Linked DNA regions of Lytechinus pictus. The protein of the gene in region 4 binds, or shares a complex with, the protein of the main gene of each other region. Links are inferred from orthologs where the notes say so. Each region holds a gene or a part of one and is shown on either strand. Other genes may lie near its edges.

Region 1 (7,123 bases), on a different chromosome or scaffold from region 4:
TGATTAGGATGGGGAAGGGATACTTCTCAAACAGTCTGGGAAACCGAACAATAGCTTCACACTGCTCCCCAGCTTTGCTGGAATGAAGACCTGAAAGAATAACAAATATGGAAAATTATTTCTGCTGAAATTTGAATTCAAGTAGCTGTTGCGGTTGTTAAGTTGTTGTTGATATTATTGTTCGTGTTGGGTTATTATCACACCCAAATTATATCATTCAGCGTGTTTCTACAGAGAATCGTTAAAAACGGTTTATCTTTTCCAGAATCGAAAAACCTTATCGCCCTTAAACCAACCCATCTCTTCAGAGCAATAATCAGATTAACTCATATTCCGCATCGCAAATAAACAGATTAACATGGCAATAACCACCTCCCAGAGGTGGTTTTAAGAAACTATATTTTGCGCGATGCAGTTTATCAATAAACTGCATTGCGTCTCTTTCTACAGGGAAGTTTTCCGGAATTCTTGATACTTATGAGGGTAATATTGTTCAACGATTCTCTGTAGAAACATGCCGTTTGGTATTCTCTCAGTGTAACAAGGTTGATGCGATGCCACATACAAGGCATTGTTAAATGTAAAGAATTCACATAACTCTGTATACAACCTTCTACAATTTAGCAGTCGTATGATAAAATGCATCTATAACAAAGTACAATGCCATTCCAGGAATTCACAGTGTGACAACCGTCTCCACTAAAGCCACCAAAGGGAAACAGAAATAGTGACCACTGTAGACAGGTTCTTTAACACACATTCTTTTCAATTCAGAGACAATTCTGTTAACTACCAAAGACAGGTTATCACTAAAGACAGGTTGCCACTAAGACAGGTAAACTGTAAATTGAATGACATTGTGGTAATGATCTAACAATGAGTTCAACATAATCCCCCAAAATGGCAATGGATGTGCCAAATGATTTTGGTGTTATTGCCAAGACATATGATGATGATGATGATGATGATGCACAGCATTTGTATAGCGCCATGTATCTGTCAAAGACATTCAAAGGCGCATTGGAGGAGCCAGCCAATCTGGGTCGCCTACAAGGGCGCGCACACAGAACTGTGACCCGCAGGTCTCTCCTCCCGATAACTGGGGGAATGCAGGTGGACCACTACACCGGGGTTTCCCCCTACTCTTATTCGAATAGTGCAGTGGGTTCTTAACGTGCAAAGGTGGTGATTCTCCTCTACACGGGGCCTCCATTTAACGTCCTATCCGAGGGACGGAGTGTTTTCCACTGTAACATAGCCTGCATCTATGAAACATGGGAGAGACGTTTACACACAACGCACTGGCTTCAGTCATCCGCCCGAGGTGGACTCGAACCCACGATCTTTGGTTCGACGGGCAGACGCGTTACTGACTGAGCCAACTTCGCTCTCATGCAACATATGCAAAAGAAACATGGCATACTTAAAAATATCTAAACAAGATTATGTACACTTTAATTTATATCTGTGTTATTCACCAGTAGCAGGCTTCTAAACTACACATTTGAGCACTCTGGTGAACAAAACATGAAAGCCAAATTTATAAAGAAATTTAATCAAGAATGCCTTTGAAAGTCTCATCTGCATTACACGATTCGATATAAACTGGGTTGCAAAAGAAACTTGTCAAACTTTTACAAGGACACTGTATAAATTCAACTCTGTCAAAATGAACAATATTTTTAACAGGCTATCTTCAATAATCTTTACTAAGCACATGTCAATTATTAGAAGAGATTGGGGTTCAATCACAGGGAGACTATAGCCCCTTACATCAATTGGTTTCTGAATCTAAAGTCACAAAAGAGCACAAAAAAAGGGCCAATAAAAATGAGATGGGATGAAACAAACTTCCCAATTTAGTTTAAGTGATTGACTCAATCACAAAGAAGCTACAGGAAGTTAACATCAAAATTTTAAATGACAGGAACAATCACACTTCTTTAGAACAATCATGCTTCTTTGGTCTCAACACGTGTCTGGCTTTTTGTGACATTTGAGAAAATTTCAGAATTTTTTTAATGTTACATCTGTAGCTAATAACCTCTTTGTATCTGTCTGTGGCTGTTCCAGTCAATCTGTGATTGAACCAATCTTTTAACTATTGACATGTGCTTTTAAAAGATTACTGAAGCTAACCTGGGTAAATATATTGTTCCATTTTGAATGAGTGGAGTTTGTACAATGCCCTTGTAAAAGTTTCTTTTGGTACCCAGTTTACATGTAGCAGCAGTGCTGACTCGGAAAACAACTGAGATATAATCACGAAAAACACTGTTAATAAAATACTCAGTTCATTGACCCTAAATGACCTTGATCATGTGACCTAAAACTTTTGCAAAATGATTGGTGATACTTGATTGCACTTATGTCAAAGCTCCATAAAAATAGGTCAATATACTTCTAAAGTTATGTCATTTCAAAAACTTAACTTTGGTTAAGATGTCAATGTTGAAACAAACAACATGGTCAAAGTCCATTGACCCTACATGACCTTTGACCTTAGTCATGTGAGCTGTAACTCATGTAAGATTATCAATCAGTGATACTTGATAATCCTTATGTCCAAGTTTCTAAACAAGATCCATATACTTTATGAGTGCATTTCAAAACCTTCGTTAAGATTAAGATTTCATTGTTGATGCCGCCGCTGCTCTCAGCAAACACATCGTGCTACATTATGCAGGCAAGAAAAAAAAAGCAGATTCTAATGTGTTAAGTCATCCATCAATCATTCATATTCTTTTACTTTGAGTCAAGATTTTGTGAAATTGGGTAAACTGCAGACTTGACACGGCCAGGTAAGTTTCTTATTCTTCTCCTTCTGTTCTGGCTCCCTCGTCATCTTCTTCTTAATCTTTGGCTTCTTCTTCGTCTACGTCTTCTCCTTCTTCTACATGTAGCATCTGTCTTCTGTAGGTCTAGTCTAGATCTACTTCTCTTTGTCTTCTTCATCTTCTTTGACTTTGCTTTCTCTTCTCTACCTCCTCCATCATCATCATCATCGTCATCCATAATCATCATCATTGATCATCATCATCATTCATCATCATCATCAATCTTTTTCTTCTTCTTCTCCAGACTGGTGGCACCTGCGCTAGCACCAGAATGTCTCAGAGAATAGACATGCAAAATAGAAAGGTGTTGTTCCTTTTGTTTTGGGCCTATATCACACCCTAGCTAGTCTCCTCAGTAGACACTTGGTGTTGAGAACTCAAAGGTCGAGAAACTGCTAACTCGCGTCTCTCAACAATTATGTACCTAGCAGCTAGTTACATAATTGTCAAGAGACTTGAGACGCGAGAGACATGACACTGCTTAATACCGATAAACATCATGGGCTGATTGCACGAAAGGGTCTTTCCAAGGACCGTCTTTCGTGTCACCCATCTTTTATGATAAGCTGTATGCGGGATATTTCTGAAATTAGGGTGGGCAATGGCACCAGATTTGTGCTGTAGACATGTGTCAAAAAAGTCAATGGGTGAATTTGCCTCAAATTTTCATTCTCTATTTTGAGTGCACAATGTAGTGAAATGTAGCAACATCTTCACATTTTCTGGTAGCCAAGTTGATTATCTATCAATGTAACACAGTGGCAAATCGTCCATAGACTGTGTGCAACGGATAGACCGTCTCAGCTCAGCGAATCGCAGACCGCTGATTGGTCAATCGCGCAGATCACATGACTACGTGGTGGCCAAAATAATTCCCTCGGACTGCGTGCGAAAGTATCGATAGCGATAACGATATCTGTTCACATTGTCTACGCGGGAAACGGTCTTGGTTTGCGATCGGATCGCTCCAGTATCGATCGAAAATTATCGAGACTCGGCAATTTCATGGATATTCACGCGACGCTCCGAAACCCGGAAATCAATTGACTTTGTGCACGTTGCGATAGACTCTACAAACTCCAACGAACACGATGCGATATCGACGCTAATTCGTAAGATTTTGACAGAAAAGCAAGAAGTAATCGAAATTCGCTTACCTGTGCGGTATCGTTGAGAAAATAGATCCTCCGAGAATACCTTTCATAATTCATATACATTATAGAGAAGTGAAATTCTTGGTCGATTTTGTACGAGGTGATAGAGAATTGCACACTTGTTTTGGTGGAATACTGTGTGGGGCTATGGAAGGCTTTCACTGCGCATGCTTACTATATTTTCATTCATAAATTGGCTCTCGGCAGTAGCTGGATGACGTCATGTAATAAGCAAAATATACATGCCCGCTAGCGTTAAACGCACCGCTATCCGTTCTATACAATTTGCCACTGTGTGTGACATGTTTCCATGGCAGCTCACATAGGCTCAAACAGTCTAGGTCAGCATAAAGACTTAAAAATGCCCATTTTCAGCCACTAGCCCACACAGTATAGCCTATGGGCACTCACACTATTGCGAGGTTAGTATATGCTATACGAACCTCGCACAACCAACGTGTTTTTGTAGTGGATTTTAGAGTTGTCGTTAACATCGCTTCATAACGTGAATGATGTTAGCCGAAACCCATTCCGCTACTCACCAGGGGTGGTATTCTGAAAACGTTCTTATCTTTGTTCTTATCTTTTATCTTATCTCATTGAGATAAGAAGAAGCTAAAATAATTGCAAATCGGTATTCTGAAAATCTTCTTATCTTTGTAAGGACTGCCTCCTTCTTATCTTCAACACGCCCATTTTTAGGATATTACCAATCAAAATGCGCTTTATATTGGCAGTTTAACCAATAGAAGCGTCCCTTATGTCAAGAGAATATCATGGGCGCTGCGCGTACACTGTTTCTGGCGCATTGCGCGAAATAGGCAATTTATACGCAATGACTGATTATTATTTTGAGACACGTGCATAAAATAAAGAAAGAAAGTAAAGAAAAAAGTAAATAAAGCAGGTACGAATATAAGGAATAAAATATGAAGAAAAGAAAGTAAGTAGGTAAGTAAGAAGACAGAAAAGTGTCAGAATGAAGGAGAAATTTAAAAAAAAAAGATGAAAGGAACAAAGCAGAAAATAATGAAAGAAATAAAGAGTAAACGAAAGTAAGCAAGCAAAAAAAAACAACTTAAAAATGAAAAAAATAAATAAAGAAAAAAGAATGAATAAAAGAAGGAAAAAGAAATAGAACGATTATCAATGATAAAGCGAGGAAGAAAAAATAAAGAAAGAAAAGAAATAACCTTAAAGGAAAAAAAGTAAAAGGAAAAAATAAAAAGATTAAGAAAGGATAAAATGAAGTAATAAAGAACCGAAAAAGAAAAAAGTTAGAAAAAACGAATGAAAGACAGTAAGAAAGAAAAGAAGGAATAAAAAATGTAAAAAGTGAAGGAAAAGAGAAAAAACAAAAATGAAACAAAGAAATAAAGATTAGAGAGAAAAAAATAAAGGATAATTAAAGCAAAAATAAAGACTACAGAAAGATAAAAGGAAAGAAAGGTAAATTCAAAGAAAGAAAAGGAACGAAAAGGAAAATTAAAAAGTCAGGAAAAGTGAAGAATGAATTTAAAAAAAAAACGAAAAATATTAATGGAAAGAATAAAGAAAAAGATTTTTAAATATTAATAGAAGAAAGATACAGGAAAGAAAGTAAGGAAAGAGAGCAAATAAAGAACGAACAAAAAAGAATGAGCGAAATAAAGAATAAAATAGAAGAAAGAAAGTAAATAAGACACAAGAGTGTCAGGAAGCAGAAATAAACAAAATGAAAGAAAGAACAAACGAACGAACGAAAACAGAAAAAAGAACCCAAAAATAAAAGGGAAAAAATAAAAGAAAGAAAAATAAATAAGGGAAGATACAAATTAAGGGAAGGAAGAAAGTAAGAAAAAGGGGGAAAAGGAAAAGCATGTAAAAAGACGAAAGAAAAACAAAATAAGGAAGAAAAAAAAAGAAAAAAAAAAGTGAAGGTAGAAAGAAAAAAAAAGGAAAGGATGAGAGAAAAGGGCAAAGAAAAAAAAGCACAAAGGGAAAATAAAAAAGGAAGAAAGATGAAGAATAAATGAAACAAAGCAAAAGAAAATTAAAGAAATTAAAAGATTCAAAAAGAATAAAACAAAAGATATAAATGAAGAATGAAAGAAAGGAAGAAAGACAGACAAATAAAAAGGAAGAAAAAAAGAAAATAAATAAAGAAAAAAGGGATAGAAAAAAAGAGACGGGCAAAATAAAGGGTGAATAAAAGAAAGGGTGGGATGAATACTTGTGGGTACTTGTTACTACTAGTGACCATCGAGTTTGAGCAAGAAAGAACGCGGACATCGTGATAACCCTCTAGCTATCTTAAATATTATCATAAATATCGTGAAAGATAAGAAAGAGAAAAGATAAGAACGTTTTCAGAATACCACTTATCTTCATTTTGTTCTTATCTTTTTAGCGCGCTTTTGTATTATATGCGCGAGTAATACATTTACGCGCTCAGCATAGGATGTTTAGCAAGATAAGAAAAAGATAAGAACAAAAGATAAGAAAAAGATAAGAACGTTTTCAGAATACCAATTTCAGATCGTGACGTAGATAAGAACAAAATTAAGATAAGAACGTTTTCAGAATACCGCCCCAGGGCTTTTTCTGGTAGAAAGCGTTCCATTATAAATTTTTAACATATTTTTTTAATTTAAAAAGGACACAAAAAAGAGCAAAATCGCTTACCTCCGCCTGGAAAGTGGCTTCGCACGTCTCTTCCACGGAAATAAAAGGAAGGTCGTTGGTGGCGCTAATACAGTTCGCAACCTTAATTCGGCTTGGTGGTATTTTTAAAACTAGATTCATTATTCATTGTATGCGCAATTCCAATAATTGTTTGATAAAATAGAGACCCCAATAAATGCAATAACTTAAAAAACATACTTTTTTATTATTTTTGCTGACGATAATACTTTTTGGAAAATATTCAAAACGATGACAAATTAAACAAAAAATATAGAAAATTCTATGTACCTTGAACAAAGCCCAGCAAGTGCTACCGTTCGTTTGTCAATTAACGTTCCACCAAAGTCTTTACAGTAAAAAGATTGAACACTTTGCCGACTTCGCGTAACGCTTTGCATCGATTTACGTGTAAGATAATTTCTGTGTCTAGTCTTTCAATTGTAGTGTCTTTGATATGAAGATAAATCG
Region 2 (7,380 bases), on a different chromosome or scaffold from region 4:
CGGCCTTTACTCCCCAGGGGGATGATCTTGTCGGGCAACGGTAGGCCTAGTTACAAAGCAAAATGAACATTAAAAAAGCTTTCTTAACAAGCAACTTTCACGTTTGAGCAAGTTACACTCTAGAGTAGTGGGGTGGGGTGGCAGCACCAGCCAGAATGGGGAGGGGGTACTTATCAATTAAACACCACCATACTTACTCTATCCCTCTTCCTTCTTTTAATTCTTCTGCCTTCATTTACTTTCAGTTTCAATCATTCTTTATTTTACTTTCCTTTTTTAGTTTTTTTCCCTTCTTTTACTTTTTCTTGCATATATTTTTTTGTCTCTATTTTTCTTTCTTTCTTTTTTCCAGTTTTCTATCTCTCTGTCTTTATTTCTTTCTTTCATTTTTTCTGCCTTCTTTTAATTTTTTTTCCATTCTTTTTTTCCCTTAGATTCATTCACTTGTTTATTTATTTTTTCTCCTTTTCTTTCTTCATTCTTTTATTGGTTCTTAATAGTAAGTCAAGAAGGGAGAAATAAAGTTATTTTTATCCTTTTTTAATTCTTTTCATTTCTTCCTTCTTTCAATTCACTTGACTTGAATTTAAGCTCCAGCTGGAGCATAACTCAACTTGTGTTCCTTTCTCATAGAGAAATGATACACAATAAGAAAAGAGATCTGATACGATCGTTTTAAGAATACTTTGACGTTTGAGCTATGGAGAGTGGCAGTGCTCCACTGATAGCGATGCCACATCATTTAAAATATTTACTGTTTACATATGTTGTGACCATTCATTTTGAAGCTTGTGACCTGCTCTTCGCAATAAGACTACGTTTTTTCTTAATTTATGCAAATAAGGCAAATATCTAATTAAATATGCACGCATATCATTAAAAATGTCTCTTGCTCATGCGGAATGTGTATTTGCCTTTGTAATTTCACCCATGCTAGTGATTTTGAGGCAATTAACCACCAAAATGTCAATTGGCCCATTCTTTGATTAAACCAATATAAACTATTAAAAAAACAGTGTTTCATATAGTTAAATATGCAAATTTAAAATGCCAAAGATCCTATATGTAAATGAGGGTGTGATGCAATGATACGCATATTGTAAACCTACATGTATGTTAAAAATATTTCTATTCAAACTACATGTATGATGTAATTAACCACCAACAATATGTCAAGTGGCCCATTCCTTGATTAAAAACTAGTATAATATATAATTCAAACAAGATACATGTATTAAAATATGCAAATTTAAATGCATATGCAAATGAGATGACGCAATATACATGTAGTATACATATTGTATATTTTACAATGATGTTTGTTCTTGTGTATGGTCCATTTCATTACAAATAAATTGGATACAAGTATAATCAATGATATGATGTTCAATTGCACAAGAACAAATTCATAGAATATTATCTTCTACAAAAAATAGTAAATATGCAAATGAGATAAATATGTAATTAACAAGTCAAGAGCAGAGGTACTTGCCCAGCTGCATCCATTATTACCCTCAAAAAATTTATGCCAGGGGCCGGTAGGGTTGGACAAAGGTCAAGGTAGCTAAAAAAAAATAAGGTCATGATAGGGGGAGGGGCCAGTAATGTTGGACGACTGAAAGGTAGCTAGAAAAAAAAAATTAGGTCGGGATGGGGGGGCATGGACCGGTGAGGTTGGACGAGTAAAGGTAGCCAAAAAAATGGGGTCGGGGCAAGGGCCAGTAATGTTTGGGGTACGTGTAACATAGGGCCCCCCCCCCCCAAGAAAAAAAAATTGGGTCGGGTGAGTAATGGCAATTATGGGTGAGGGGGCGGGTTGTAATGCCACGCAGGGGCCTGGGGCAAATTATGGAAGGGGTAAACAAAGATCTATAGTAAATTGGGCAAAAAAAAGATGGGGTCTTGGGCCATAATCAGGATTTAAAAGGGCAACAAAGGTCCATCAATATCTGTTACATAATCACCAAAAACCAATCACCCCTACTCAACAAACTACAGTATCCGCATTGACCCTAAATTTTCCAGATTGAGGACAGTGCAAGCCCCAGTCTTTCCCGCTGGCGGTATTTCGCGGTTTACTAATTGGTAACAAGTTTGGCATCATTACAAAGCTTAGAATTCAAAGAATCTTATGATGCTGGGATTTTTTTGGTTTTTCATGTGTAGGGGTACGATAAAGGGGTCAAAACATTCATGTCATCATCAAATCACCATATCAACAAAATCTCAACATATCATTATCATGATATCAAAATGCAAAAAAAAAAAAATCGGATTTTTTAGACATAATTTCAGAGCAAAAGTACTAAGCTAACGATTCAATTTGCCACAAACACTGGTGTAAGTCAAAATCTTGTGTGTCACATGATTATGACAGGAGCAGTACTTTCCACTTCGGGCTTCTGCGATTCAAAATGGTCGCGCGCATCGTCCGATCAGGCAGGTTTCAATGACACATTTCAAGTGCAAAATATCTGGCGATTCTAACCTCAAATCAGAATGTAAAGTGAGAATTTCGTATTTTAATTTGATAATCTGCGGATATTTGTGGGTCAGAGTGTTACTGAATGAATATTTAAAGACTGGAAAAGAGTTTTCTGAGACCATGTTTTACACGGGGGCAGAGCATACCGATGCAAACGCGCGGCCGGTTTGGCATCGCTACAGCACTGATTCGCGCCGCACTTCTCGGTTTTACTTTAGATCTCTTGCCTCTTGGACGTGGACGGTACACCCGCTGCTAATGCAGTGCATCTTCATTGTTCCCGCTTTACCACGTCCACGCACGCGTTGCCCACGACGGTAGTTCAATAAATCAGGATATAAAATGACAAATAAATAACATAAAATAGACGATTTCTGTATAATTGTACGATATTTATTACCTCGCCGAATCGGGGGCTTCTTAGGGGGCAGTTTCCCCCTCTCCATATGTTAACAGATTCCTTTAAATTTGTGGAAAATCACAGAGTTTCACATGCTGTCTTCTCGAACAGAACTCTCAATTTACGAATGGGTACAGTATCCTCAAATGAAAAAGGTACATGGAAAAAATAACAACCCAGACTCGACTGGGCCAGGCCAGAGCCAGCTTTGGTATTGCAGACAAGAGTCGGAGATGCCCCGGGAGATGCACAATCGCCTGTATCGGAGAACGTATTTTTTAACGAATTTTTGAAGTGTTTAGTTAATGAATTTTGATGTTTCCTTGCCTTGTCCCACGGTGGGTTCAAAATTTGTAGTTTTCAAGCCATCTTGGATTGATTTTCATTTTTTTACCCAGGCCAGACTGTGGAAATATTGTAAATGAATTAAGTTTCGCTATGATTTTGAAAGTATAAATTGTTTTAAATAGTTTTCTTAACAGTCAGGTGATAGATTTCGATAAAAAGGGGAAAATTTGAGCCAAAATGTCCATGTTTTTGGTCAAAACTTTGTTATTTGTTTTATCATGAACATCAGCAACCGAATGGACAATCAGTTTTCGACAAACGAGATTCATATTGACACGCTTCATGACATAACAGTATATAAATTGCTTAGATGGAGGGCAAATGCGTCAGTAGACCCCTTATTACTCGTTATTGTGCTAAAATGAACCCCCAATAATTGATCAACCTTTTCGTTGTAGTCACACCAATGAAACCAACGAGATCGTTGGTATACAATTCAAGAACATAGCTTGGATCAGGGGCAGATCCAGCATTTTCCAAAAGGGGGGGGGGTCACATTTTCTCGAGGGAAAATTTGTTATACGCAAAAGAAAAGGGGGTTTTTAACCACTAAAACTTAATGATATTTCGTCGCCGAAAAATTTTTACAAGCAAAAAAAAAAAAAAAAAAAAAAAAAAAGGCCTTCACTTTCGAAGGGGGGGGGGCACACTTTTGTTTTAATGCCATTTTTAGATTAAAAAAAATAATTTTGCTTCTCAAAGTCCGCCAGTGGCTTGGATAAGTAAAGCAACTTTTTATAATTTTTATAAAACCTCTTGAAAAACTTGAAGGAGATATTGCTATATGCAGGTTACATGGAAATAAGTTTTGGTATCTCACAGCTGGCTCACAGCCTAACGTGACAGGAGCCGGGCCGGCCTGTCGAAGGTATCCTACCCCTACTTTGACTCTATTATAGTGATTTGGGGCAGTGACAAAACGGCATTTCTACTATGTACATCTCAAAACCACTTTAACTATCCTCCTAGAAAAGATAAAAGAAACATTGCTCTAAATTAAAGATTAAGGGCGTAGGCTGGAGTGCATTGGGTGGTCGAGCACTCTCCCTCTGAGGCAGAGGAGTTCCGACACTGGCAAGCAAAACAATTGTTTTACCCCTTCTGCTTTCAACAGCTGAATTTCCAACCTTTAGTCCCCCCCCCCCCCCCGGTTCCACCTCACTATGCTCAAACCAGCCTACGCCCTTGAAGATTCAGTGCTCGAATAACAGTTTTGGCAAATTAAAGCCTGTACCCCAACTGGGCTTCAATATTATTTACTGCGCACCCCTATCCGAATTTTGACTCTGTTGAAAAATATCGTATTTGGATAACCCCCAATTATGACAAAATGAATCTCCTATATTGTTTTTTGGGGCCAATACAGTTCTTTCTTATAATTCACGATACCATATCATCATGATTTTTAACCTTTCTTCTCTGTCGTGGATGTTTTTGAGCGTGGGTAATATAATAATAATGTCAGTTCAACGTATATACGCCACGAGTTAAGCGTGCGTCATTGTAAAGAAAATCATATTAAGCTATGTAAAGAGGATGATTTTTATTAACCGTGTATTAAGTAGATTGGAAAACATCCTACCATTGGTGCTTGGTTGTGTTGTGAAATATTTTCTTGGTGATCATGTGATAAACTAAATTTTTGATGTGGCTGTATATATAACTGAGCAATGTGCAAAATGTTGATACAACCGCCGTGACAATAACTTTAGATCGACACCGAGTGGGAGTTTATCAGTCACTTTTATTTGCCGCTCTGGGGTGTTGGTAAGAATGTTCATTACAACTAACTATTTTAACTATTAATTTACACAGTAACTTATGTTTGAATAACATTAGAGTTGGATGAAAATTATGTTGTGCTAAAATCCACAAACATTCACGATTTGAAATTATATTTAATACGATATTTGAAAAAGCCATCCTGTTACCTTTAAGGATGTAATTAAGCTTCGATTTTGTTTATTACTTTGTTGCATGGGCGTCAATCTATTCGCTTGTTTGGAGATAATATAGATGGCGATCGAGTCATAAAAAGATAAAAAGACGTTCATCACCAAATATACTCTTAAAAATGTTGGGCAAAACAAGGCCCAATTTTTAACCATCACTGGGCAACATACTGTCCACACAACTATTGGTTAAAATCTGTCCAAATTGGGTAATAAAAACTAACAATTGGGTAATAAATTGCTCAATTGGATAATAATTGCCCAGAATATATATATATATATTTACCAACATACATTACCCAACACAGTGGACAGTATATGTTGCCCACCATAGTGTACGCTATAATCATATTATGCACTATACTGCCCAAACCTTGAGCCACCTCCTGATGAAAAACACAAGCCTTTTTGTATATTCCACGGGCGTAAATCCCCGGGGGGGGGGGGGTGATGGGGATACAACCCCCACATTCCGGAGAGGGGGTGGCATGCAGTCACAGTCTTCCCCCTCCCCACTTTTCAAAACAGAAACGATTTTTTTTTTTTAAATCATCAAGTGATTAATACTACTGTTAATGTGTGGATTCATCTTTAAATGTGACCAAAGTGCTTATTTGCCCAGTTTTGCATTCTAAAAATGCCAATTTCTCGCGCGGTTGCTATGCTCCCGCGCTCAATCTAATCTTACAATATTTTGGCCATGACAAATCCATACGTTTAGCATATTGCAAATGTTATATCCCCTGCATCATGAGAGTATATATGCATATGAATTTTATGATTCAAATGATTTTTTGATATGGTTATAACTGATCATAAACCAATCAAAACATCCTTTGAATACACTGGCGTGAATGTTGGGGAAGTCATACCAGTCTAGCATATTTGGAAGCGGGGGATAATTTATACAAAAATACAGGCATACTCTATACTTAAGTTAAGTGTACGATGAGTTACTGCTGACTAACCAAATCAATGTCGTTTATGAAACACGGAGGCAAGTTAGGACACCGATTTTTAAAAAAAAAACCTTACAATTTCATCCGTTTATAGGAGACTTAAAATCACATTAATTCCATAACAATTTGATATATATTTCAAATATTAATTTCATTCCAAATTTTGAATGTTGCATCATCTTCCAATATAATCTTAAAGACTATTCAAAATCTTTCTTTTCAGCAATATGTTTCTTTTACTCTATGTTGTTACCACTTGCATATCTGAGGGGGAAGGGGGTGAGGGCTACGTGCAGTATCCATGCTGATGGAGTCCCCCCCCCCCCCCCCCCAAAAAAAAAAAAAAAAAAAAAAACGCCAAAAGAATAGTGAAAAGTGTACAATTAATTCCAAACCAGATGTTTTTTTTTCTTGCTCAATTTCGCTAAGTGCATGGCATCCTTGAAGTTTCTACAAAAAAGGTTCTCCTAATGACATTATATGACGCTAAAATTGCCATCAAATCGAACTAGCTAGTCACGAATTTTGTAAGGTAGAAAGGAGTTTTGAAATATTATTCGTGTGGTTGCTAACTTTTGTTCCAGGAGACGCACCTTAAAAGGCACTTCAATATACAGACAGTGTTATCGTAAAATTAAAACCCCTTCAATATTCAAAACCATTAGAAGCTTCAAGCATGCATGGTGCATGGATGTCGTCAAAGGAGACTAAAATATTAGTGTACACTGAAGCAGTATATCATCAAGATGACGGTCATAAAATTATTTGAGATTTGGTGGTGATGACAATGCTAATGGTGTAGTAGTAGTATAAGTGGTAGTAGTATTAGAAATATATAGTAGTAGTAATAGTAGTAATAATATAATAGTAGTAGTAGTAGTGGTAGTAGTAGTATAGTAGTAGTAGTAGTAGTAGTAGTAGTAGTAGTAGTAGTAGTAGTAGTAGTAGTATACAAGTACTAGGGTTAATGATGTGATGATGATGATGATTAAGATGACAGCAACAATGATAATAACCATATGCGGCTATCCCGCGAAGCCCCCCTCCCCACGAAATTAATATAGACGTACAAAACTCGCCAATCAAAATGCGAGCGCACAGCGCTGACAATCAGACCTGAAAAGGGATATTTTGAGAACTTTATGGAATACACGAAGAGAATAGATACTTGACAAATCAAATAATGCTAGTGCGCATGATATCCAGTGATCACAAAGATAAAATTTTACTTATTCA
Region 3 (7,008 bases), on a different chromosome or scaffold from region 4:
AAACTGACAAAGAAATAGTGAGTGGGGAACATCATCGATTTAGATATCACTGAATAATGCATGTAATTTTTTTCTGAAAAATAAGCAAAACTTCAGAGAATATCATAACTTTCTTATTAGACATCCGATGGCGATGAAATTTCCGTTATTACGCTGCCTTGTTTGATTTTTCTCTACTAATTCAAATCGACATTTTTCTTGGGTGCATCGACTGGACTTTTACATGGTCAGTTTCAGTGGCGTACCTAGGATTTTTCCCGTAGGTACGCTAGTGGTCAGTTTGTACATTAATATTATACAACTTTCCGAGCTCTCTGCAACGACAGTGACGACAGCCTGACTTGGCGAGAGAGCGGGTGGATGAAAATTGTTAGAATTAAAATGCTGTTTATTAGTGGAACACTTTACAGCTTGAGTATTGCGGCAGCATTATTATTTTTTTTTCAATTTTTTAATTGTCTGGGCCGGTGAGGCAACATACTGAGGAACACTCCTGAATTGGGGAGGGGGCAAACGCCCCCATGCACCTTTTTAAATCTTCTCTCATTCATAGGCAATATCGGTCCCTATTTAAGGTATTATAATTATAATGCATATATGGCCCGCCCTTCTCATGCTTATTGGTAGAATTTACGCCAAAACAAGAATATTGTATGCCCCTGAAAAGAATATACGTTGCCTTACGGTTATCTAGTGCACGTGTCCCATAACAAAAATACTAATTACGTATATAAAATTGATATGCCATTTTAATGGCCAGGTCGCGACCCCCCCCCCCCCCCCCCCCCCCGATCCTCGTGAGGGGAGCACTGAGGGAGCATACCTCCTTCCCTTTCCCTATACTAGTATTAATGGCCTTCCCTTTCTTAATTCGAGCTCAGCTGTGGGTGTAGCGAGTATACTTGTTCTGTTTTTGTCAAGCAAGCTATCTTGCAAATTCAATGATGTTTATTATTTTCTTCGCTTGCGGTAGTACAGTACATGTATTTTTAGTAACGTCTTTTCTTATTGTAATCATATGCAAACTAGAGAGATTGACGTTGACCATAGAGATGTATACTAACTACGCTAGAGTGCGGAGTCGCCATAGGCGCGCGTACTTAACGTCTGTGATTGTGTGGAGCGTGGCGGCCATTGCTCGATAGGTATAGATTCGCAAAAGTACCCGGATGTACCCATAGCTCGTGCGTTGTAACGCTGTGAAAAGGGGTGCCGTCTCCGGCCTTTTTCTTGAAGAAAAGAACACAACCTCATAAAAATCGAAAATATGAATGACAAATTGCATCTCAATACACTATTAGAGTGATTACATGGGGATTATGCTATTAATTTGGCATTTTAAAAACCTGATTTCTCGGGATGAAATTCTAAATAATTTGCATTTACCTGTCCGTTTATAGGCCTGTAATAGATAACAATGTTGATATACTATCATATAAACAATCATATAAAAATAAAAACATACAGCGGACATTAATAGAAAGATTGACAATTAATTCAAAAGACTGCAGTGAATTAGCCCTTCTCTGGATTTCCCTACCTTTAACTGCATCGTCCTCCTTCCATCCTTCCCACATTTACGTCCTTTGATTCTATGTTTATGTTGGATATAATTTTGTAATTTCTATATAGGCCTACATGATATGTAACTTGCTTTAATTTGTATGAAATATAGGCCTATCATTTTTATATATTAAGTTGTACAATAATTCTGTATAAGTTAGTGTTTTGATCTACATGCGCTATTAAAGGGCATCTCATTATTGTTCTTGGTGAGCCTCCCGTTACACCATCAATGTTGAAATTTGTGTTATTTGGTGAACGTGCTGATTTTGTTCTTATAGGAACATAATAAATTCCCCCAAATCTGCAGGCCTATATGGCCCGAAAATAAAATATTGATTTAAAATGTCGAGAATATAGCCTAATTTGTTCAAACTTTTCAAAAATGACAGTTTTAATTCCCTTCACTTTAAGTTAGATTTGTTTTAATTCGCTTTTTAGGGGCCGTGTGTGCAATTAAAATAACAAACACACCTAAGCAAATTCGCTTTAACATACTGATCAAAATAAAATACAGGGGGCGCGACCGGACCCCTCCCTGAAATGAAAATGAACATTACACATAATAAATGATTGTGATTTTATGCACCCCATCACTTTCAAAATCATTCCGCGACGCCGTAATTAACATAATATAATAATTTTGTTCATCCATGGAAATCTTATTTAAAAAAAACTGATCGAATAACCAAACTCAGGTCCATAGGCCAGCAAATGACATTAAAGGAAGAAAACTAGAAAATCAAATTCAGTTATACTTTTAAAATGAAAAACAAAACTGGATATTCAAAACGCGTGTTTATCTGTTTATATGTTAGGCCGGTGCCAGTGCTTACAAATATTTGCCATAAAGTTCATTTATTCAAGCGACACAGACACAGTTAATTAACACAATTTCAAGGCAGGTATCAAATTTGAGATTAAATTAGGATTTTTAATATCTTATTCCAAGTATTGTCACTTTTGCAATATTATTGTTTCATAATTATGTTTGGTTTTAGTACTCACAATTTTGCAACCGTTTTCATAATTATGATAAGTTTGCATTGATGTCTTTCATGATATTAGTTTTATACACTCTTGCAGTAGTAATAATATTCTTTATAGTATAATACAAATTATATATCATAATCCCGCCCCTTTTCTTCTCTCCTTCTCCCCCTTCTTCCTCTCCTTATTATTCTATCCTTGATTTGTTCACATGATATTGGTCCAATCATTATATATAGGATCAGAAACAACGGCGATAAACAAAATATTTCAGCCAGTTTGCCGATCAGCGTATTTTCAGCCGGGGAGAATCAAGTCTATACTTTCCAGAAAATCAAAGTAAAATTGTTTTGCGCATTGTGATTTGTTTACTCTCCGAAGTTTTAAAATGTTTGCAAGGCAATAACACTGTACATAAACATCCAACCCCCCATTAGGCCTCCTGTACATTGCAAAATTGTACGACTGCATGCGCGCATTTGATATGCAAATTTTGCTGTCAACAAACTTTTCTATACATTGATCGCAAGTAAGAAAGTATACTTTTATATACATATTTATAAATATGATGGGATGGTTGCCAGCAAAGGAAATCTAAATCATCAATTTTTAACTGAATCAATGCGTAAATCATTTCCAAATATCAATAAAAAGTCATTTTATGATTCGCGAGTTTTTGTGATGTTGGTTTACATCAGCGTGTAAGACATGGGGAAAAGGGATCGAGTTATTATAGGCCCTATTGTGTAGATATATATGGAAAATGAATTATAACAATTATCTAAAGTGAAGAAATAAATTATCAGCAATCAGCATAATAGTGAAACTATGAACTATAAAAATACAATCGTGGTTTTTTTTTCGATACAGCGTCTCAGATGCATCAGACACTGTGATATGGCCTATGAATTTTCTTAGGTTAATGTACATCAAATCATATTAAAACACATTAAATTTATTTATCAGGACCTAGGCCTAAATGTTATTTTTGATATTCATCTCTTCCAAATCATTAGAAAATAGAAGTCATATTAATGTATCGAAATTTTACCTAAGCAAAAACAATTGGGACTTTAAATCGTTTGCCTGTATTATAGCTGTATCGGCCTATATTATGCGCTATAGATAGGCCTATATAGGCCTTTTGACCTCAGTTTTGCTAGATTTTTGTTGTATTTGAACTTTAATCCAGTGCAATATTTACAATTTTGCTTTTCCATATGCTTTCGTGCTCATATGTCATCAATTTGTCATGTTCTGTGCTCATCCGTGTACATGCCCCATAGGTACTGTACGCTCATGGCAGGCTGCGAATACCTATCGAGCAATGGCGGACGGTCTCCACGTAATCACAGCGATTTGACGAAGTACGCCCTCTAGCGTTACTAGTATACATCTCTATGACGTTGACCAATCACCAAGTTGTCACGTGACTAGGGCTGCGCTGCGATAATTTTCCGTACATTTATTTTTTGCGCGATGGGTTTTCGCTGCTGCTAAAATCGGCAGCTCTCGCGAAGCTGCCAAAAAGGAGGAAAGGGAATCAAATCTCTTATTTTGGGCCTCGTAGGCGATATTTCTACACAGTTTTGGCATGAGAGATAGATAAATTAATAAGGAACAAGATGCCGGTGCTAGTTTTTCTAATAGACACCAGTGCTTCGATGAATCAGAGGACACATTTGGGCACATCACTCTTGGATATTGCAAAGGGAGCTGTCGAGACATTCATGAAGGTAAACTGCAATGCATTTTGGGTGATCGATTTTTTTTTATGAAGTTCAGTGACTTTCTTTTTACGAAAGAATGATAGATTGGGTTGCTTACGATATATGATGCTGTTGTTGATATTATTAAATGATCATACTAATTTTTTTTAGATGTATTGTTGTTCATTTTAAACATTCATACTGTGAAATTCTTTTGTTTTTCTCATGTTGTAACGTTAGCTTCGCCTTCGAGACCAAGCCAGCCGCACGGATCGCTACATGCTGGTGACGTGCGATGAGTCCCCGGCTACAATAAAGGTACTATAAGGTCCTTGATTTTTCTCGTTTGTCATAAATTATAGTCATTTATTTGCGAGATCGCGATTCTTCAACACTTCCCCCACGAAATAATGTTGGGTTCATGTCGTTCTGGGTGGTAGATTCGCAAAATATTGCATGAAACTTAGCACCAGATGTACTTCCTCCACACAAACGTCCATCTTGTTTCAGACTAAAATTGTGGGTCACGTCAGGATATCGATCATAAAAGATCAACAACGATCAATATTCATGAGCTGAGCTGAAGTTAGCAGACATTAATGAGACAATGCATGCAGACACTTGTGGATTCAATGAGTATACCTGCCATATAATAATATTTAATAATAATAATAATTAGACTTATATCGCGCCAAATCCACTCTGTAGAGTGCTCAAGGCGCTTTTTAGGAAATTATAAAATAAATTAAGAAGAATTGAACAGAAATGTTTTGAGGTAATGTTTAAAAGTTTCTATATATATTAATATGATCAATAAATAAATTTGTGTTAGTTTTTCACTTTTAGTTGTGGTTTTATTTACATGTATGGGTAGCCAAATGTGACAAAAATCCCAAACATTTGAGAATCAATCTATCAACACAATCAACATTCAACCATAGTCATAGTCTTAGAAGTTAGAGCCATGGCATAGCCATAGGGTACGTATGGTATGCATGTTCTTTTCAAAAAGTTGATTTTATTTATAACTTTTGAGAGCAAAAGAAAGAGATAAAAATAATGGTGAAGGATTGTGAAAAAAATGACAAAGTTATGTTTTTTTGTGTGATTTTTTTCTCAAATTGAAAGTGATTTTATTTGTGTGGGGGCGCATCGATATGGTAAGTGGGAATAAGCCCTAATGTTAGGAGTAATAGCTATAATAGTTTTCTTCACCACTGATCGAACCATGAAGGAAAGACATTTTTTTTTAAATATAGAATTTAAGATCCTGAAATAGGGGAAGTTCACCCTGACGAAAGTTTATTGTAAAAAAGCAGAAAAAATAAATACTGGTAAAGGGTTTGAGGGAAATCCGAAGATTTATAAGAAAAATATTAGAATTTTTAAGTTTTTTATTTGTGAAATCATAAAAGCAGGAGCCCAATACGTTATTTGCTATAAAATGCGTAATTTTGCTCCTTTTTTTAAATAATGGTTCATGATTACTGTTTTTTTTAATTCCATCAGGATTGGGTGTGAACCTTGAAGAGTAATCCATTTCAGCAGCTTCAACGCTATCCCAGAAATAATTTATTTGGTGATATACAGAAATTCCAAAAACATTTTCATTCTTTTTCTCTTTTTTTTTTAGAAAATGACATTTCATAGATTTTTCTTTTATTACATTTTAAATGGGGAAGCTGCTTGCAAAGCCTTGCATACTACGATGTCCCAAATCCCAAAAAATTGTAATATTAATCTTAGGTGGATTTTTCTCAAACCTTTGCCAATATTTTTTTTATTTTTATTCTTTTCTTCTATTTTTGCAATAAACTTTTTGTCAGGCTAAACTTTCCCTTTCAATGCAGGCATGGGCAATTATTTACACCTAATGATTTTTAATGTTATTTTTATGATAATTTAGGCTGGCTGGAAGGAGAATCCTGCAGTCTTCATGACTGAGCTGAAGAACCTTCAGGCCACCGGTCTCACAAACTTGGGTCATGCCCTCAAGATGACCTTTGACCTTCTGAATGTCAACCGTCTCTACTCTGGAATTGACAACTATGGCCAGGTATTAAAGCTGTTTTCAAAGTTGCCTGGTGGCCAAGTGCCAGGATTTTTTGTAACGAAACCTTGGTTCTCAAACAATTGTGATCAGCCACACACCCCCAAACCATTAATACGTGGCCAGGAAAGGTTCTCAGTAAAAACAATTTGTTCTTCAAAATGTTGAAATTTCAGAATTAACTTCTCTCTGAAAGAGTAATTCTCCTTTTGCACAAGTAAATAAGACGAGATACAAGAGTTTCTTAGCTTTCTTTGACACCATTTATTCTTCGGACTGCTTGGAAGTTTCACTTAAATTGCACAATGTGCACATCTCATGCTTGAGTGAATCCCAAACTTCAGACCTAGTGTTCTCATTCTTTGAAGCTCTCATTGGCCCGAATTCAAAAAGGTGGTTTTTAAAACCCATGGTTGAATCCATGGCTTATGCAGATTTCCTGTATAAATTACGCTTAATTTAGCGTGTTAAAAAAAATGTCCGATGCTGATGCGCGCTTTTGTCACAGTGCGCCAATTGACGCCTGTTAACATTGTTAGATACACTATTTTATTCATGAGTCCACTGTTTGAAGAGTGGACTCATGAATAAAATAGCGTGGATAACCACGGCAACAGGCATCAATTTGGCGCACTGTGACAAAAGCGCGCATCAGCATTTGACATTTTTTAATATACACGGTAAAATAATGCATAA
Region 4 (7,846 bases):
CAGTATTGAAGACGCTAGGATCGAGTTATTAAAAGTCACATTTATAAGTGTAACTGTTTACTTTATGCATGTTGAATATTAGCTCTCTGATGTTTTGAGTCTGCCTGAACTTATTTTTTATTGTGAATGTTACATATTTGCTTGTTAATATTGTGTTTTTGTATTTGTGGTTTATTTTACTTTTCTTTGATTATTTTTCCGATCCTGTACTTGGCATCTTGTGCTCCCATCTCATCATTCAAGGAGAGAAATTTTCCATCGAGCTTTTAGCAGACAATGATCACATGAACCAGCATTTCAAAGACCAAGGGCTGACATGGATGAGACAGCATGTACGCATCATGACCCTCAAATAACTTCATTCTTAGCCAAACTCTGTCATCGAAGTTATTTGTTATCAAATCAAAGAGTCAATGTTGACTTTTATTCATTGATAAGAAGATAAAGCACATATTCATAAATTTATTAATTTGTATCATTCTATTATATTTTTCTATGCATTTATGTATTAATTCATTTTGCTTATATTTTGTGATTTAAATTTACTTATTTAATGATTAATTTATTAATGTAGTCTATCATTCTTTTTCTGTCAAAGTGATTTACCAATCAATGTATTTACTTGCATGATATATCAAATATGTAAATTATCAGTAATGCATGGGAAATGTATTATAATGTTTGTAGTATATTTCAAATCTGTGATATTTGATCATTAGACATTTATAAGCTTTTTAAATATTTCATTTTTACATCTATAGGAATAGGTCTTGCATAACAGCAGTTTAAGTTGTACATACATGATGTGTGAAATTATATAGCAAAAAATAAACAGCTTTCACTTTATTTGTGATACACAACTGATAATATTCAAAATGGCAAAAAGAAGCTGCTGAAAACTGCTTATCTAATAAAAGAGAGCCAATGGAGTAAATTAGAAAGTCAAAAAGGAGCCTAAGCTTTCGATCCTAGCAGAATCTTCGTCGGAGGCAAAATGACAAACATATAAAGTGGAACAACCATAATATAGACCACAAACAAGCTACAGCAACACTAGAAACAAGGAGACAAAAGGGGCATTAGTGAGTAGAGAAGACCAATCAGGTTAGTGAAGGGGATGAAAGAAAAGGAGTAGGCAGACACAAAGGGAAGTTAGTGTAAGTAAGGCCAGTAAAAGACCTCAAGCCAAGAGGGATTAAAATAATGAGGCAGGCAACATCAAACAGGATCTGGAACAAAACAGTGATAATGGGATGAAAAACAAGAGAATTAGTGAGAGGTGGGTCAAACAGGTTACAAAGAAAGGCTTAATAAACTGGTTCATAAGAGTGGGGGGGGGGAAAGGAAAAGAATGGGGAACAACTGATAATGTGCAAAAGACATAAAAGTATATATGATAAAGCATTAAACAAACTAAGAGAAGAAGGTAAGTGTAAATATGTATCTATAAGTGATATGTATATAAATATCATCCCATTATCACTGTTTTGTTCCAGATCCTGTTTGATGTTGCTTGCCTCATTATTTTAATCCCTCTTGGCTTGAGGTCTTTTACTGGCCTTACTTACACTAACTTCCCTTTGTGTCTGCCTACTCCTTTTCTTTCATCCCCTTCACTAACCTGATTGGTCTTCTCTACTCACTAATGCCCCTTTTGTCTCCTTGTTTCTAGTGTTGCTGTAGCTTGTTTGTGGTCTATATTATGGTTGTTCCACTTTATATGTTTGTCATTTTGCCTCCGACGAAGATTCTGCTAGGATCGAAAGCTTAGGCCCCTTTTCGACTTTCTAATATTCAAAATGATAATATTCCATATAAATTTAATTATAAATAATCTATGGTGCAAAATTACTTCCTGAATTCAAATTTCTTTGTTGCATTTACATTTACATGTATCCAGGAAGATTCGTAAATTTCATTTTCACATCTGATGGCAGAACTCTGCCTAAGAGAACACTCCTCTATCCCCATTCCCCAATTATTGTCAAATATAAAAGTGAGAATAATGCAAAATTAAAAAAGGGGTAGGGTATTAAAAGTATAATGTCAGAGTCAGTTTGGTTTTATTTTATAACTTATCTTATTTTTGTGCTTAATTTAGCTCCATATAATCTTGAAAAAATGAACATCTCTTATATTTCTTACTTTGTTTAAGCTACACTGCTAGGACTGCACACAACAGACATAGTTGTCTACATGCAATACAATTATAATGGAATTTGTATCTTGAATATGAAGATAGTTAGAGATAATATGTGCTTATATTATTTGTCAACTGTCAAATCGTTACAGCTATTACTATCCCTTCTTATCCAAAGAAAATGTATTGAATTTTGAATTTTAGTAGTCTTTATGTGAGAAATAATTACTGGCATTTTATCAAAACAAAAACTGATTTCTTTTGAGATCTTATATAAAAACCACTTTTTGAGCATGAAATTAGCTGAAATTAACTAGTACATGATATAATTGTAAGTTCTGATATGCAATCAATAAATTGATATGAAACATATGTTAGTGTTAAGTGTGCCTTTTTGTAATGAAGAAAAAGAAACATATAAGAAAGAAAGGATGCTAGACATTCTCATTTGTAAAATTCACATTAATATAAATTATCAACAGTCACTACACTTCTGTAACCTTGGAGTGTTTGATGATACCCCTGTAAAAAAAATCACATTGTTGTATGTATGTTTACAAATGTTTTTGAAGCGCTTTCACTGAGAGTTGTGTGATAAAAATGTCAGACTTATGGATTTTAAAGTTTTAATTTTGTGATATCATATGCTAGCAGCTCCATAATATATTATGTGACAAAGTCCACGAATTGTATTTTTTCATAAAATTGAAAACGATTTTATCTGTGCACTCAATGTATCAGAAATATTGTGTACATGCTCTAAAAAAGACAAATAGTTTTCATGAACCATTTAGGAGTATTATAATGTAGATGTGTATAGTGGTTTATATATTTTCTTATGATTAAAGTGATCTACCTTTTGAAAATGATGACAGTTAATCGTTTTGCTTACCAAATAATGATTTAACACCATTATAGAAAGTGCTTCTGAGAGACGTCCTAAAAGAGAGGAGATGAAAATCAGGAAATTAGTTATAACAGTATAGTTGTGACACTTCTGACTGCCTATGTTCTTGTTAATTGGGCAGAAAGTAAACTTTGTTGGCAATGATGGATAGAAGAAAAGAATTCATGCTATCTTGTTGCCCAGCCATAACAAACTGAGACTGTAGCTATGGCTATGAATTTAGAGTGACGTATTTAAGATGGTGACCGCTTTTGGGCTGATACTAAAGAGCTTTCATTTGTCTTGTAAAACTTGACATTAATAACAAATGCATTTTTTTGGCAGTATATTTTTGTAAGTTGGTATCTTGTTTTTTTATAACAATTTAAATGAAACATTAATCAAGGGAAAGGGGAGGATGAAAAGTGGCAAATGATAGAGAAAGAGGTAGATAAGACGAGGCATTTCAATGGGGGTAATAATTTACCCACCCCCCCCCCCTAAAATTAGAAATTCCACAAACAAGGAAACAGGAGGGGGAATTAAAAGGGATGATATGTAATATCTTGTCAATGCTATGTCAAAATCTATTTTTAAAAATCACTTGAATAAATTTCACTTGTAAATTTTAAAAGGAAAGTAAGTCATGCACCCCAATAAAATATTGATTTGAATAAATGTAGAGAAATCCAACAAACAAATCTGAAATTTTCATCAAAATCAGATTCAAATAAATTAAAGTCACCTAATTTCACAAAACATTTGTCTGCACAACCTCGCCGGTATGTAAATAGAGAATTGATGACATCATTACTCACTATTTCCTTTGTGTTTTACTATATGAATATGAAAAATTCAATTCTCTCTAAATTAATGTGAGTTTAATTTGATTCCTCCCTGGAAGTGTTGAATTGCCATGTAGTGTTACCAATTTTGTGATTTTGATAATCTTGTATTGCCAAGTCTGCACAAAATGAAATTTTGTATAATTCAACAACAAAATGCAAATTAAAGAATTAGTGAGTGAGTGACATCTTCTCTCATTTGCATATGTGTAACATGTTTGTGAAAAATGAGCAAAATTTGTTAATATCACAACTTTTTCCATTTCATGCCCGATTTGCACAAAATTTTCAGCATAAAAATTATGCTTTCCCTCTTTTTATTCAAATCTAATTTTTGTTGGGATGGAATTGCCCTTTAAGATTTTTTTTGCCTTCTGCACTTAACCCTTTTGGCAAATTATTTGCATGGCAGGGGAGAGAGGGGTGGGGCTTCGAGAGGCTGGAATATATATAAACGAAGAAGGCTATGGCAGATGAGAGAATGAGATGGTGAAAGAGTAGAGAGTGAGGAAGAGTTTGCAGATGAAAGAGCTATCAAGGGAGGGAAGAAAATGGTGGTAGGATGAGAGAGTGAGAGGGCAAGAGAATGAAGATTGCAGATGAGAGAGAGACATCGAGGGAGGGAAGTAAGTAGGGTGCTATGCAAACCATACACTCTCGATCACTGTCAGTTTCGGACAAGAACTATGTGCTCCGATCCGGAAAGAGGTATATACAGTATATATTATTCTTTATATCATTATTTCTTACCTTGTTCCGACTTTGTTCTATTCAATTTTCTTTTTTTTTTCATGTATTTTATATTGTCTGTTCATTTATATATCTGTTTTCTATTTCTTTTGATCATTTCCATTTTCTCTGTATTGTACATCTTTCTGTTTCTTGCTTATTAAATTATTTGGCGACAAAGTATGCCACTCCGAAGAAGAGGCTTTTTTTCCTTTTTACCACTTTCATTAACGACACCACCATAACTTCACAGAAAAATAAAATCAAGGACTTAGAATATGACCAATTCAACTTGAGACTTAGCAATAGTGTGCTTAAAAGGTAAATAACCTTTCAAAATCATGTTATCAAGACCTGTTGTATCACCTGAAGCCTTCCAGGCCATGCAGAATGTCGACATCGATGCCATCGTGAAGCTAGGAGAGAATAAACTGAGGGTATTGCTGCCATGTCTCGTTCGCATGTCGCTTTGTGCTCCTTTGGACACCAGCAACAATTGGGTCCAGGGACGCAAGAAGCTTCTACGTGTTCTCTCCGGCCTGGAAGTCGTCAACTCTATCGTAGCACTCCTGTCCGTCGACTTCAGTACGCTTGAACAAGATGCTTTGAAAGAAGCGAAGATGAGGTGAGTTAGACTTAGAGTTAGACCATACGTTTTAACAAAGTCTCCTTTTTAGAAATGATTTTAAAACCAAAACTGATAATCGTACTAAGTAAAAGTAAAAGGGGAAGTTCCCCCCCAGGGGCAGGGGCGGAAATCTCTCTCAAAACTAGGTAGGGGGGACAAGGCCAGGGGCTGGAAAATTTGACAAGCAAAAAAAACAAGGTTATCACCCCAAATTTAAGGTCATTTCGACGAAAAATAGATTTGACAAGCCAAAAAAAATAGTTATCACCCCCAATTTCAGGTCATTTCGACCAAAATAATTTTGACAAGCAAAAAAAAAAAGGGTTATCATCCCCCCAAAAAGTCATCTCCTAAAACACGTTTTATTTCGATTTTGAATGATGTATTTCTTACCATCATTAATTTTTTTTTAAAGACCACAAAGAGTAGGGGGGACATTTGATATTGTGTCCCCCCTACTATTTTGAGTAGGGGGGACAGGTCCCCCTGGGACTTCGCCCATGCCCTGCCCTGAGTTGAACAGCTGACAAGTTTAAGAAAAAATATATAATTTTTATTTAATATTGCCAAACCACCAAAGGCCAAAGCCAAGGCAAGCCAGGTTTGAGAAAAATCTATCAACGAATAAAAAAGTAATTAGAATTTTAATTATTTGATTTGTGACGTGATGACGTAAAATTCGAGAAATTTTCCTACAATCGTTTGGTAAAAAATCGATTCAATGAAATGTCATTTTCTCAGAAAGTTGAAAATGGTTTTTACTGTCCTTTACTCCTAAGGCTTCAGTATACTGTTCCTAAAAAGAAATTAAGATATATCATTAAAAAATTGAAATTGATGCATTTTATATTAACATGCATGACCATCACATTGTAGAAATGTAATGGAATTTTTTTTAGCTAACTAAATTTATGATTAATCAATTTACTTTGCAAAGATTATGATGCGCATTGAATAGGTAAACAGACTCCAAATCTTTTTTTTCCAAGTATGCAGAATCATGGCATTGTTTGCATGTTTACCCTTATGTTTGTTTATTTTTGCATATTCATGTTTATGCCATTGTTTATGTCATCTATCTTCTGGAAACAATACAGGCCACTGTCTGGTGTATTGTCGTACTGGTCTATGTTGTATAATATGCTTAATATTGCCACCCTGTATCGTGTTCGGTAAGAACTGATAGCCTGGGTTTTATGTTTATTACCTTTCTTTATTTTATGATTGATCAATAAAGAGGATATTTAAAAAAAAAATAACATAGGGCTGCTGCTTGATAATGATGTCAAATCAGGGTGCTACATAAGCACTTGCCCCATCGCCCGGGGCAAGTGATTTGAAGTAAAGACCAAAACTGCCCGAATTGGGCAAGCAAAATTCTCACAGTAGAATTACCAAAATTACCCTAAATTTGGTCATGGCGGGCAAGATAAAATCACTCTGTTAAAAAATGCAAGAACGAGGTACATCAGTTCATGTCAAAAGAGAAAAAAAAAGGTCAATGGTTTCTAAAACCATAATATTTTCTTTTGAAGAAGTAAAACTTTTTTTCAAGGATTTTTTCGGGCAAGTGAAATAGATTTTTGGGGAAGTATATTCCAACTATTTAAAAATTTACTTGCCCAACAGGGCAAGTTCATCTAAAAAGTTATGTAGCACCCTGTGTCAAATATCCAAAACTTTCTTAATCTTTAATGGATTTTCCTCAAACCTTAATACTTGGATTTACTTGGATGCAGAGACATGAAGCTAGAAGCTTATTTGACCCTCATCATGTTTGGTTGTCTCTGATATGGTTAATATTTTAATGGATGGGATTTCCAGTGCCTCTCAATTGCAGATTTAAATGTATAGCCTACACAACAAAAAAAGTAAGTCCCCCCTAAATCAAATTGCTGTAACTTTCGAACGGAATTATTTTGAGATATGATATTTCTTAGGTGGTTTTCTACACTCATTAAGCAACTCCTAGGGAAAAATGAGATTGATCGGTTGAGTCATGCATGAGTAATTAAAGATTGAATTAAAAATGACCATTTTTGAAAGTCACAAGAGACGTTTTTCAGATTGTGCAAATACAAAGTTGGGAAAAAGTTGTTGTTAGGTCATTTAGGTGAATTTTATGGTGTTAATGCCGTTTTACTATCCATCATTTAGCCACTCCACACACAATTTTGATATCGTATGTTCATGGTTGAGTGAGCACAATATTGCAGGGGCCGCAGAAGCGGGGGTGGGGGGGAGCTGGGGCCCCCCACTTTTTTCCAAAAGCATGTACAAAAATGTAAAAATGACCATACGATTGTGATTTTTTGCATGGTCAGCCCCCCCCCCCCCCCAACTTTGAAAACCGTTCCGCGGCCCCTGTATTGTGACGTATCATCATAGGGGTTTTTGGAAGTATCCTCTACAACTTGTTTGGTCATATTAAAATTTGAAAATGTTGGTGGCTCCCCCGATTATAGGGCCCTCCCCCATTTTTTATTTCTGGATCCACCCCTGATTTGTCCATAAATTAAACTGATCATGAGAAATTGTTAGAAAAGAATACATTTATGCAGTATAAAGAGTATTCATTCCTAAGTTTTTGAATGTGCTCGCTCAAACATGAAAATGTT

Evidence for each region.
Region 1: the proteins of integrator complex subunit 2-like (region 4) and integrator complex subunit 7-like are in contact, whole or in part, in a cryo-EM structure (PDB 8RC4), measured with the Homo sapiens proteins. The link is inferred for Lytechinus pictus from reciprocal best matches to the Homo sapiens genes INTS2 and INTS7. Residues at the interface, in NP_065799.2 of Homo sapiens: Gln27, Lys28, Val29, Cys48, Arg51, Met52, Cys55, Ala56, Ala58, Asp59, Gln60, Ser61, Trp64, Phe92, His93, Ala186, Glu187, Pro189, Ile194, Val218, Asp220, Ser221, Asn223, Glu224, Ser259, Leu262, Lys263, Arg265, His285, Gly294; in NP_056249.1 of Homo sapiens: Leu38, Gly39, Glu40, Cys42, Glu43, Val46, Arg47, Asn77, Phe78, Leu81, Cys82, Leu84, Lys85, Gln88, Gln89, Asn114, Asp115, Pro116, Val117, Ala120, Ile121, Arg124, Val153, Glu156, Val159, Phe160, Ala163, Leu195, Lys196, Pro199.
Region 2: the proteins of integrator complex subunit 2-like (region 4) and integrator complex subunit 1-like are in contact, whole or in part, in a cryo-EM structure (PDB 8RC4), measured with the Homo sapiens proteins. The link is inferred for Lytechinus pictus from reciprocal best matches to the Homo sapiens genes INTS2 and INTS1. Residues at the interface, in NP_065799.2 of Homo sapiens: Pro40, Leu54, Lys69, Leu72, Arg73, Leu75, Ser76, Gly77, Val78, Glu79, Val81, Asn82, Val85, Gly125, Thr127, Leu128, Glu131, His132, Glu166, Val172, Tyr173, Glu176, Arg322, Gln325, Gln326, Arg329, Gly400, Lys402, Thr769, Met772; in NP_001073922.2 of Homo sapiens: Gly561, Ile562, Ala563, Trp564, Asp565, Lys566, Gly567, Ser982, His1055, Met1056, Thr1058, Pro1060, Glu1095, Arg1096, Thr1098, Ile1099, His1102, Leu1107, Arg1225, Ser1250, Phe1251, Gly1252, Ile1253, Tyr1285, His1288, Glu1291, Val1292, Gln1293, Glu1295, Arg1296.
Region 3: the proteins of integrator complex subunit 2-like (region 4) and integrator complex subunit 6-A-like are in contact, whole or in part, in a cryo-EM structure (PDB 8RBZ), measured with the Homo sapiens proteins. The link is inferred for Lytechinus pictus from reciprocal best matches to the Homo sapiens genes INTS2 and INTS6. Residues at the interface, in NP_065799.2 of Homo sapiens: Ile855, Asp856, Pro857, Leu858, His895, Arg923, Glu925, Leu926, Lys927, Ala929, Leu930, Ala932, Ala933, Gln934, Ser936, Ala937, Gln940, Ile941, Glu944, Asn1010, Lys1013, Leu1014, Phe1017, Gln1018, Gly1019, Tyr1020, Pro1021, Ile1046, Ala1047, Gln1048; in NP_036273.1 of Homo sapiens: Ile484, Val486, Arg487, Ser488, Arg489, Phe527, Gln528, Val529, Ala530, Leu531, Leu532, Asn533, Phe541, Arg542, Asn543, Ala544, Tyr545, Ile547, Arg549, Leu552, Leu553, Leu556, Met559, Arg560, Asn562, Leu563, Leu564, Lys565.

Annotation. Positions count from the first base shown.
Region 1 is NC_087251.1:16,406,568-16,413,690, forward strand, and holds the start of integrator complex subunit 7-like, read right to left. Parts: upstream 3,016-7,123; coding exon 2,898-3,015; intron 91-2,897; coding exon 1-90. UniProt on the Homo sapiens protein: Component of the integrator complex, a multiprotein complex that terminates RNA polymerase II (Pol II) transcription in the promoter-proximal region of genes.
Region 2 is NC_087254.1:32,366,330-32,373,709, forward strand, and holds the start of integrator complex subunit 1-like, read right to left. Parts: upstream 3,019-7,380; 5' UTR 2,932-3,018; coding exon 2,886-2,931; intron 47-2,885; coding exon 1-46. UniProt on the Homo sapiens protein: Component of the integrator complex, a multiprotein complex that terminates RNA polymerase II (Pol II) transcription in the promoter-proximal region of genes.
Region 3 is NC_087260.1:11,488,275-11,495,282, reverse strand, and holds the start of integrator complex subunit 6-A-like, read left to right. Parts: upstream 1-3,999; 5' UTR 4,000-4,178; coding exon 4,179-4,289; intron 4,290-4,502; coding exon 4,503-4,580; intron 4,581-6,168; coding exon 6,169-6,318; intron 6,319-7,008. UniProt on the Homo sapiens protein: Component of the integrator complex, a multiprotein complex that terminates RNA polymerase II (Pol II) transcription in the promoter-proximal region of genes.
Region 4 is NC_087246.1:9,593,120-9,600,965, reverse strand, and holds the start of integrator complex subunit 2-like, read left to right. Parts: upstream 1-4,838; 5' UTR 4,839-4,941; coding exon 4,942-5,225; intron 5,226-7,846. Other genes in the region: probable thiopurine S-methyltransferase, read left to right, coding at 244-356. UniProt on the Homo sapiens protein: Component of the integrator complex, a multiprotein complex that terminates RNA polymerase II (Pol II) transcription in the promoter-proximal region of genes.